2 linked regions of the Elephas maximus indicus genome follow. The protein of the gene in region 2 purifies or fractionates together with the protein of the main gene of each other region. This does not show direct contact. Links are inferred from orthologs where the notes say so. Each region holds a gene or a part of one and is shown on either strand. Other genes may lie near its edges.

What was found. The genes of interacting proteins can lie anywhere in the genome.
Region 1: the proteins of PSME1 (region 2) and PSMA7 purify together in Homo sapiens (affinity purification with mass spectrometry; 5 studies listed by BioGRID and IntAct, with this or other methods). This does not show direct contact. The link is inferred for Elephas maximus indicus from reciprocal best matches to the Homo sapiens genes PSME1 and PSMA7.

Annotation. Positions count from the first base shown.
Region 1 is NC_064843.1:5,785,103-5,790,617, reverse strand, and holds the start of PSMA7 (proteasome subunit alpha type-7), read right to left. Parts: upstream 3,883-5,515; 5' UTR 3,754-3,882; coding exon 3,658-3,753; intron 158-3,657; coding exon 31-157; intron 1-30. Other genes in the region: SS18L1 (calcium-responsive transactivator), read left to right, coding at 4,323-4,391.
Region 2 is NC_064828.1:35,493,798-35,499,312, reverse strand, and holds PSME1 (proteasome activator complex subunit 1), read right to left. Parts: upstream 3,431-5,515; 5' UTR 3,314-3,430; coding exon 3,275-3,313; intron 2,666-3,274; coding exon 2,633-2,665; intron 2,483-2,632; coding exon 2,420-2,482; intron 2,306-2,419; coding exon 2,195-2,305; intron 2,117-2,194; coding exon 2,071-2,116; intron 1,944-2,070; coding exon 1,846-1,943; intron 1,623-1,845; coding exon 1,554-1,622; intron 1,468-1,553; coding exon 1,400-1,467; intron 1,289-1,399; coding exon 1,234-1,288; intron 1,157-1,233; coding exon 1,070-1,156; intron 887-1,069; coding exon 806-886; 3' UTR 660-805; downstream 1-659. Other genes in the region: EMC9 (ER membrane protein complex subunit 9), read left to right, coding at 27-96, 181-275, 430-610. UniProt on the Homo sapiens protein: Implicated in immunoproteasome assembly and required for efficient antigen processing. The PA28 activator complex enhances the generation of class I binding peptides by altering the cleavage pattern of the proteasome.

The DNA.
Region 1 (5,515 bases), on a different chromosome or scaffold from region 2:
AGGAACAAAGCCCTGTCCTGAGACTGGTACCTGCAAACGCCATGCAGACATTGTCATCCAAAGCACAGATCTTCCGCACCGTTCTCTCATCCTGCAGTTTGGCCACAGATTTCTTTTCCACTCCAAGAACAACAATTTCTCTTCCTCGTACGCCAACCTTCAATAAAAATCAACAAACCGCTTAATACAGTGACTGAGGTTCTGCCACCAGGCGAAGCAGCAGCCCTCACCTCACCAGGTGTGCCAGGCACAGCCTGCCCTCCTCCATGTGCCCGCCACTACAGTCAGCAACACACCCTGCCAACCCTGGGTATCGGCTCTTTATTGGCAGAACTAGCTGAAAGTGAAGAGGACTTGAAGCCCTTACTGATGAGGAGCAGAAGGTACAGCCTTCCGGATGGATTACACTTTAACACAAAGAAGACAAAAATCCTCACAACTGGACCAGTAAGAAACATCACAATAAAGGGGGAAAAGACTGAAGTTGTCAAGGATTTTATTTTACTTGGATCCACAATCAACACCCATGGAAGCAGCAGTCAGGAAATCAAAAGACGCATTGTATTGGGCAAATCGGATGCAAAGACCTCTTCAAAGTGTTAAAAATCAAAGAGGTCACTTTGAGGACTAAGGTGCGCCTGATCCAAGTCATGGTGTTTTCAATCGCCTCATACGGATCCAAAAGCTGGACAATGAATAAGGAAGACGGAAGAAGAACTGATGCCCTTGAATTATGGTGTTGGCAAAGAATAACGAATATACCGTGGACTGCCAGGAGGCAGAACAGATCTGTCTTAGAGAAAGTACAGCCAGAGTGCTCCTCGGAAGCGAGGATGGCAAGAGTTCATTTCACTTACATTGGACATATTATCAGAAAGGACCAGCCCCTGGACAGGGACATCGTGTTTGGTAAAGTAGAGATCAGTGAGAAAGAGGATGACTCTCAATGAGATGGACTGACTCAGTGGCTGCAACAGTGAGCTCAAACAAAGCAGTGATCGCAAGGATGTCGGAGGACCGAGTAGTGTTTTGTTCTGTTGCACATGGGGTCGCTATGAGTCAGGATGGACTCGACAGCACCTAAACAGAGGTTATCCAGGTACTCTAACCTAAAATGCCCGACGCCATGCTTTTAAAATACTGAGAGTTCAATCATAACGTAACTAAATTACTATATAATTAGCATATGCGTTATTTAAATCTAATGAGTTAAACAGTTGCCCTTAATGTCGTTGGGTGCCATCAAGTCAATTCTGACTTATAGTGACCCCATGAGACAGAGTAGACTTGCCCCATAGTTTCCTAGGCTGTGATCTTTACAGGAGCAGATTGCCAGATCTCTCTCCTGTGCAACCGCTGGTGGGTTCAAGCCACTACCTCTTGGATAGCCGCTGAGCGTTTAACCATCATACCACAAGTGCTCCTTAACAGTGAAGTTAGGTATTCTGAAACGAACGTTTCTAAGTTGTGAAATTACGAACAACCCATTGTGCCTGTCCCAGCAGTGCCGTGTGCTAATGCACCTGGCTGTGTGAGGACTTGCCATTGGGGACAAAGGTGTCAGCTGTTGTTGGGAGGGTAGACAGGAGATGATGTGGCCATTGTTCCAAAGAGAGAACCTCAGTTCCGTCCCCACTGAGACAGAAGCAAACACAACGGGACAACTCTCAGAGAGATAACAGCCCTGGTTATTTCTGAGCGGAGCCTCCCAACACCCAGCACTGCTGACGCTCTGGCTAGATGACTCTGTGGGCAGCTGTGCGGGCACTGTAGGGAGATTAGCAGCACCCCTGGCCTCTACCCACTGGATGATAGTACCCCTCCACCTCCTTAAAAATTTAGATACCAAAAATGTGTCTTAAAATTGCCAAATGCCTCCGGAGGAAAAAGTGCCCCCAGTTCAGAACTACCTGACCACTCCCAGAGAAATGGACTGGTTTGCAGGAGCTAAGCCAACAGGTAAGATTTGGGGCCTTCATTTCTAAACAGCTAAAACTTCAAGAAATGAAAAGGAAACGCATAGCACCGCACGGGTTGCCTCTGCTCTGCAGCTCCAACCTCCCCAGTGCTGGGCTTGAAGTGAAAAACTGGCAGAGAATTTGCAGTGACAAACGGACGGCAGCGTCACGTGCTGTCTCTAAGCTCCCTGCACATCAAAACGGCCCTGTGTGGTGTGAGCTGAGGCCCAGCGTGGTGTAAGCTGAGGCGCGGGCTGACTCAGATTGGGTCGGGCTTCTGTGGCCTAATGGTCAGATCCAGGGACGCACCTGCCCAGGCCCTGCATTGCTGACACTGGGAGCCAGCAGCTTTTTGTTCTCCAAGCCCACCAGGTCCTTTGGAGACAACTCATTTCCCTAGTGGAGGAGACCCCCATAACTCGGAGCTGGCTGAGTATCGTTGCTCCAGCGCACCAAGGAAGCCTGCAGGAGCCAGCCCTGAGAGCCCATCTGCGCCCCTGCAGTGCGTGGGCCAGCCACACCCCCGCCGCAGTCCCGCCCAGTGCAATGGTGACCACGCCAAGATGGCCGTCACACTGCCAGCATCGCGCGGGGCTCAGGGGGGCACTCCGCTGCAATGAAAGATAAGCAACCCTCCTTAAGTTTCCACCCCCTTCCCGGAACTCCGCTGTTTGTGAAAACGCCTGTCAAAAACCGTGGGCAAACATCTGCCGATATTTCTTTCAGTTACCAACGCTGTACGTCCCCGGCCTACTCAACCTCTGAGAAATAAACAAGCCGCTCAGTCCTGGCTCGCTCTCCACCCAAACAGCAGAAAGCCACTGACACCGCAGGCCCAAGGCCTCAAATCACAAACGCGGTTCCTCCTCCGTTTTCCTTTCGAACAGCGGCGTCGTTGCTTCCGTGCGCTCCACTCCTACCACTAAAACAACCTAAAACCAAACCCACTGCTCTCGAGTCGATTCCGACTCATAGCGACTCTATAGGACAGAGTAGAACTGCCCCATTGAGTTTCCAAGGAGCACCTGGTGGACTTGAACTGCCGACCTTTTGGTTAGCAGCCGTAGCAATTAACCACTACGCCACTATGCTCAGTTAAAACAGCGAGCCCACCACACACGCCCCCGAATACAAAGAGGGATCAGCACAGCGGCTCGACCAAAGCAGGGCAGCGAAGGCAGAGCTGCCGCGCCGCGCCAAGGTTTAAGGCGCGTACCGGGGAAAGCGCCGCCGCCCGCACGAGAACGCGCCGCTTCCCGAGCCCCCAGCACCCGCCGCCGCGCCCCGGACCACCGCACCCGCCGCGCCTGCCTCCAGGACGCAGGCAGCGGGACACACGGCAGCTTCCCGAGCACCACCCTTCCGGGACCCCGGCACAGCCCGAAGCGCAGCCCTCCCCGGGAATCCTCCCTGCGCTCCCCCGTAGGCTTCCTGGGATCCCCCAGCCCCATCCCGGCGGGCTCCGGGCGCGCACGCCCCGGGAAATTCCCGGCCCACGGCTCGGCCCACTGACCCTCCCCGCGGGTTTCGGGGCGCACACCTGCCGTCGACCCCGGCCCAGGGCGCGGCCCTGCTCGTTCTCCCTTCGGGGTCCGGGGCACGCACCCTCCGCGAAAACCGCCAGGAGCCCCGGCCCCCGCGCGGCCCACTTCCGCCTCGATCCCCGGGCTCGCGCAGGCCTCGACCCGGCCGGTCTTACCGCGGTGGAGCCCTTCTTTACGGCCTCCTGTGCGTACTCCACTTGGAAGAGGTGGCCGTCGGGCGAGAAGACGGTGATAGCGCGGTCGTAGCTCATGGCCGGGCCTGGCACGGCCTGCTCCGGAGACTGCCCGCTGCGCCCCAGCAGGTAGGGGAGACCGCCCGCGCGCGTCCTCAAAAGCGCACACTCATGCGCCGCTGCGGCCGACGCACCACGCCGGGCTACGGCCTACGCTGCCGACGCATGGCTACGCCGCCGACGGAAGCCTACGACTGCGCTGCTCGGCTGACCCGCCGACGGAGGCTTACGGCGCCATCGCACGGCTACGCTGCCGACGGAGGCCTACGCTGCTGGCGTAAGGCGTGGGAGGGCGTCCGGAGCGCACCACGGCGGGCGCGGGGGAGCGCGGCGAGAGCGGCGACGGCGGGTGCGGCGCGCGGGACAGGCGGCGGAGCGCACGGCGCGGGGCGCTGAGATAGGATCGGCGGCGCGCGGGGCGGTGGACGGGCAGGCCGGGGTACGAGGCGGAGGCGGCGGCCCGGGCGAGCCCACCGCGCGGCGCCCCCCGCCCGCCCCGCCCCCACCGCTGCGGAGACAGAGCGTCCTCGGACGCCGCGCGCGGCCAGAGAATAAGCCCCATGAGCCAGGGCTGAACCTCTGCCACCATGTCCGTGGCCTTCGCGTCCGCCCGACCGAGAGGCAAAGGCGAGGTCACGCAGCAGACCATCCAGAAGGTGGGCCGCGGGCCGGGGCGGGCGCGGGGGGCGCAGGGCCGGAACAAAGCGCGGGCGCTGCCGCACCGAGGCCGCCCCCCGCGCCCCTCGCAACGCTCTCGGGTGCGACCGCCGAGGCGCGCCGCCTGCGCCAACTTTGTGGGGGGCGCGCCGGCCCGGGTGGGTGCGGGGGTGCCCGGTTCCCCAGGACGCAGCCGGTGTCCGCGGTGCTTGCCGGAGCCAGCCCGGGTCATGCCGGGGACAGGGTGCCGGGGACAGGGTGCCGCCGCCCGCGGGGCTGGGGACAGGGTGTCTCGGGGCCGGGCAGGAGCAGGGCTGATCGCGCTCGGTTGCAACCTGGGTGGCGAAGCGGCGGCGGCCACTTGCTTCTGCTCGCACGTTGGCGAGTGGAGAGGGGCCGGGTGGGCCTGGGGTGCATGGCTGGGGCGGCACGCAGCCTTTTCACAAAGGTGCTGACGCTTGGAGCCAGGAAGGGTCGGAGCAAAGTGTGGGGATCTCGTCCCCGAAGCCCCGCGCGTGAAGTCCACTTGCTCACCAGTGCGCCACCACCTCGTACTCGCATGTAACATTCTTTTTAGCGTGACACCCTGGCCTGCTTTTTCAGCTAACAGAAACTTTGTAGATTTGCCTCACAGCGTTCCTTCTCGTTTTACAAGCTTGGCACTGCAGTTTTCTAGGGATATCATTGATCTAGGCTTAGGAACGTGTTTAACAAATGCTTTTTAGACAAAAGCCTGTAGTTTTGAAAGGGAGACTTGGGATGTCTTATTGTTTCTTATTAGAAGACTCGCTCAGAAGGGAATCCGAGGCAGGCATTCCGCTTTAATCTCCACAACGTCATTTGTAGCTACATCGTTTTCTTTTCTGAACTTTTGATTCCGTTATCATTCTTCCTGCGGGTTCCCAGGAGCGTCCAATTTTCCTTCGGGGTGCACTTTGCTGACTGTGCCCTGTGTTCTTTGGTAATCTGCTGGGTCCTCGTGGAGGTGGCCCTCAGTCTGTGACTTGTCGTCGTATAAACGTTACTACATTAGCTGGCGTTAGGTGTTCAATGATTTTAACAAACAAGGAGCCTCAGCAGATTGAGAAGCAGTAGAAATGCAGATCTCAGAGTGTGGCGTTTT
Region 2 (5,515 bases):
ATTCCTCTGATCTTTCCTCTACACAGCCCTGGGCCCCTGGCCTTGAAAATTGCTGGGCGAATTGCAGAATTCTTCCCTGATGCAGTACTCATCATGGTGAGCCTTGGGATTCAGGGTTGGGGGAGTCGGAGAGAACATCGTGGGTGGGATCTTTGAAACTCGCTTGTCTTTGTCCACCAGCTAGATAATCAGAAACTGGTGCCTCAACCTCGTGTGCCCCCAGTCATTGTCCTGGAGAACCATGGTCTCCGCTGGGCCCCCAAAGACAAGAACTTGTGAGTGCCCTACTCCCTCCACTTCTTGGAAGTCCAAAGTTCCTGGGTTCCCTCTGTCCTGCCCCAAAAGTCCTTCCCTAGACCTAACTTCTGCCAAGTTCTGCATCTGGCCCCATCGCCTACTGTTTGACTTCCATGGTGGTTACTATTTCAGAGTGATGTGGAGGGACTGGGAAGAGTCGCGGCAGATGGTAGGAGCACTTCTGGAGGGCCGGGCCCACCAGCACCTTGTGGACTTTGACTCACACCTTGATGACATCCGGCAGGACTGGACCAACCAGCAGCTGAATACCCAAATCACCCAGTGGATTGATCCCACTAATGAAAATGCTTGAGCCAGGGTCAGTGGGGCCAGGATCCAATAAAGAGACTTGGGCTGATGGGTAACAGTATGATTATATTTATTGTGCCTAGATGGCAAGGTGAGAGAGAAACCTCAACAGGAGAAAAATGGGGGGAAAGTCTGGAGTCCCCGATAAAAGGCAGGAGGGTCTCTGTTGCACTCATCACAAAAATGAGAGCAGAGGCCCTCAATAAATCATCCCCTTTGTTTCTCCCCTGGGCTTCTTGAGTTTTTCGAAGTTCTTCAGGATGATGTCATATAGCACTGCCTACAGGGCCAGGGAGGAGTGGGGGGTCAGCTGTAGGTGCCAGTCGCTCTGTGCCCCATTTCCAGCCTTGTGAAGAGGCCACGCTTTGTCACCCTTTACCCCCAGCCTGCAGGGTCTGGGAGCGGGTGGCCTGGGAAAGCTGCCTCTGCCCACCCCTGCCCTGCGCTGCCCTCGCCTCCTCACGTAAGCATTGCGGATCTCCATGATCCTCAGACGGATGTCCCGGTACTCCGCCTCATCCAGCTCATGCACCAGCTGCCGATAATCACCCTGAGGGAGACTTGGGGTCAGCCTGACTTCATCCAAGTGTGTCCATCCCCCCGTATATCCCGACCTGTGCTACCTACCACATGGGGTTGCTTGGCTGCTTTGGTTACTGCATCACCCCGCTCAGAGAAATACCTGTGGGAAGTGGAAGAAGTGTGTAGAGTGGGAGAAGGTGGCATGAGCCCTGGCCTCTGTCCCCAATCCAAAGCAGAGTATGCGTGTGGGTGTGGGTGGGTGATCACTTACTTGGAGATTTGGGTGTGGAAGCCTTCCAGCTTGGTGTGAAGGGTGGTCATCAGCTCAAACACCTTTTCCTGGAGAAAGCAAGCAAGAGGATAAAGTAGAAGGAAATATAGACTGGAGGGGAAGGAAAGGCAGGGACATGGGGCAGCATGCTCACCTGGACAGCCACTCCAAAGTTGTTCCCATCCTCAATCCGTGGTATCTGCAGCTGCAACCAGGTGGTGACCTGGGACAAGGGAATGGCATCTAAGTCACAGCAGTCCCCCACCCAATTCCCACAAGGTGGGTGGAGGTGTGATAGGTTCATCCTGAGCCCCAGGGCCTGGACTTCTGGCTTCACTTGCTATGCTGTTCCTGCTAAGACCTAGTAGTGTCATGCCCTAACTGGGAAGAACCAAGGAGGACAAAGGGTTCAACCTAAAGCCTGAGGTGGGAGTGGGAGGGCTCACCAGGTTGAGCTGCTCAATGACGTCTTTGATCTCTGGCTTCAGGCGCTGCAAGAGGGCCACGATCTTCTCATTGCAGCTCACTGGGCCACAGGGAGGACCTGGGGAGTAGGCAATGGGTCAGTAACATATCTGGGCCTGTGTGAGGGGGACAGGGGAGGGATCCTTAGCAAGAAGCTCTTGGGGAGTGGGACTCAAGTCCCTTCCCACCATCGTTGTTTCAAGTACCTTTGTCTTCATCTTCCCCTTTTTTCTTTTCATCCTTGTCTTCCTTCTGCAGCGAGAGAGGGGCTCATGAGAGTCAGGCCTAAGGTTGATTTTCCCCATGATCAGGTCCCTCTCCCCAGCTTGCCTCCTGCTGTTTCTTCCGCTCCTCCTTCTCTTTCTCCTTGACTGGGTCAGGCACTGGTATGTCCAATGGAGCCTTCAGATTGCTCAGGTTGGCTTCATTGAGAGCTGGCTCCTGGTGCAGGGTGAGAAGAGGGCTGTAGGCAAGGGTGTCCTCACTTCCTCTTTCTGACCCCCCCCCACTCTCCCCTTGGCCCCTATTCTCTAGCCCCTTGCCCAGCCCCAGTACCTTTAGAAATGCATCCAACTCAGAAATCTTCTTGGGGAAATAGCTCCCAAGCAGGTTCTCTGTCTGTGTGTGAGGTGGGAGTGGGGGAAGGCAGAGGTCAGAATCAAAGGCCCACCTGGCCAGTGATGCAGAGCCACTGCTGCCCAGCAAGAGAGGGAGGGCTGAGCGGTGGGAGTTGGGGACCAGTGGGGGTACAGATGGGGCAGGTCTTACCTTGGCACACAGGTCTTCCCGGAACACATTCACCTGTGGGGCATAGGCAACCTTTCAGAAACCTGGCTATAAGGCCAATTCATTTGAGAGCAGTTCCTTTAGGATTGCATCGGGCCTGGAGCTGGGGAAGGGTGGGGGTGGACCCGGGTGGTGGAGGAGTGGATTCCCGTGGGGCTCAATTAGGGGGGTGAGAGCATTCCTGGCAGAGAAGAGTGGGTGGTTCATGTAGGAACAGATCCCTCGGGTTGCCTGGGTCACCCTGAAGAGGACATGTATGAGAGCCCCCTGCGACTGGGGCAGGAATGAGCACCCTGTGGGATGGGACTTGGGGACCTGATGAGAAGGCCACGAGGTAGCAGGGGCAGGTCCCGCACCCCATCTGTGTGTGGCCCCGGCCCCGGGCCAGCGGATTTCCCCTCTACGCCAGCTCTCCGCTTCACCTCACCCCACTGAACCACGGTCGCCTCGTCTCTTCCCGCAGGCAGGCCTGGAGGATCTCCCGTGGGCTCAGGTGCTCCGGGTGCGTGGCCTCGGTCGACTGACCTTCACTCGTGTCGGGGGCTGGAGGCTAGTTAGGGTTGCCCTCAGCCTCTTTGAGCCACGCCTCCCTAAAGGGCCCTTCCTTTAACCTGCTGCGCTCACCTTGGCTTGGGCTTCAGGCTGGACCCTGAGTGTGGTCATGGCTGGGGAGGGGGCCTTACGCCGCGCGTGGAGCGAGGAGTGGGCACGGGGAAGGGAAAGTGAAAGCAGCTCTCAGCCCGCACCGCCTTCCTGGGTAGTGGAGGTACTGAAGGAGGCGGGGCCGACCACAGAGGACAGGGGCGGGGGAGGAGAGGAAGGCAGCGGAGGCGCTGCTCCCATTACAGCCGGAGAGAAGCCTCCACAACCCTCCTTTGCCCGGCCCGCCTTCCAGTCCCCAGGCCCCGCCTTCCCGCCCCCGGCCCCGCCTCCCTGCACCGGCCCTCCTCCTCTCGTCCCCGCCCCGCCCCTCCCACCTCCCCTCCTCCCGGGCCTACTCCCTCCCCTTCTTTCTTTCGACTCCCCGCTGTCTAGCTTCCACCCTCCCCGCCGCCCGGCGCTCTACTTCCCGCCTCCTCGCCCCGCCTTCACCATATCCTCGCTTCCGCACAGCTCGTCTCTCTACCTCCTCCCTCTTGACGCCCCGCCTCTTGCCTCCTGCCTCCTCGCCTCCTCATTCCCGCCTTCCAGCTTCTGATTTCCCTGACCCCTGGCTCCTGAGACCCCCGCCGGCTCTTTTCATCCCCTGTTCGACCTGGGACAGTGATAAGCCTTACTTGGGCCCCTTCCACATCTTTTCTGAGTTGAAGCAAGACCTGGTCTGCTTTTATCCCGGCCAACGTGGACCCTTGGCTCCCTCGACCATGCGGCGACCCTTAGACTCTGGCGCCATCCGGATGTAAGCTTTCATCAGTTCTCACCCGGACCAGTGTTATATCTGCATTCCTTTGTAACCCACTCTCCACACAGCAGCGGTATCATGTCCCTCACTTGCTTAAAACCATTTCACAATCTCCTGTTGACCTTAGAATGAAATCCAAAAGGCTCCATTCTAAGCCCCTGCGTGGCAGCTGCAACCTGTGTCCCGTCCAACTTCACTTTCTGCTGCTTTTCCCCTCATTCATTACACTTGCAAATACCTGCACTTGCCATTTGCTTTTCAAGAGTGTCTTGTTCATTTCTAACTGCAAGGTCTTTGCTCTTGCTGCCCTTTGCTGAAACTCCCTCCTGCTGGTTCGTGTTGTCATTCAGTTGGCCGCCTCCTCAAAGAGAACTCTGTCGATCACTCTTTGTAAAAGTACCTGCCTCCAAGTCTATTACAAACAAACCTGTTTTAGTTCCTTCATGGCACTTACCTCTCTGATATTAGCCAGTTTATTTTTTGAGGCAGGACAGCATATTGGTTTAGGCCAGGGGTCTGCAAATTTTTCTATGAAGGGCCAGATAGGGAACATTTTAGCCTTTGTGGACTATTTAGTTTCCAGCAACTACTCTGTTATTGTAGCAGGAAAGCAGCCATGTTGTTGTTAGGTGCCATTGAGTCAGTTCCAACTCACAGCGACCCTATGTACAACAGAACAAAACATTGCCCAGTCTTGTACCATCCTCACAATTATTGTTAGGTTCCAACTCATCATTGCAGCCACTGTGTCAATCCATTTCATTGAAGGTCTTCCTCTCCTTGGCTGACCCTCTACCAAGCATGATGTCTTTCTCCAGAGACTGGTCCCACATGATAACATGTCCAAAGTAAAGCAGCCATAGACAATACATAAATGAACGAGCATGACTGTGTTCCAATAAAACTTTATGGACACTAAAATTAGAATTTCATGTGTCATAAAGTATTATTCTTTTGATTTTTTTTTCAACCATTTCAAAATGTAAAAACTGTTCTTAGGTTGCAGGCCATGCAAAAGCTGGCCACAGGTGGGCTGTAGTTTGCTGACCCCTGGTTCAGAGCACAGATGATGAACCCATATTGTCTGGGTTTGTAATCCTGGCTCTTATTTTCTAGGTGTGAACAAATTACTTAACCTCTGTGCCTCAGTTTTCCCAACTCTACAATAGAATGCTACTAAACCTACTTCATAGTGCTGTTGTTGTGAGGACTAAATGTGTTTATATAAAGAACTTAGAAACTTAGAACAGTGCCTGGCACAGACAAAGCGCAATACAACAAGTATTTGCTATTTTTGTGTGTTTATCATGTCTCCCCCAGTAGCCCATATGGCCCAAGAGAGCAGAAATCTTGTCTTTCTTATTCACATGGCGTGGAACTATGCTTGGCTTAATAAACCTTTATTAAATAAATGAGCAGACACAGATCCCCTATGGGGAAGACAGGGTAGGAAGGGCCGCTGA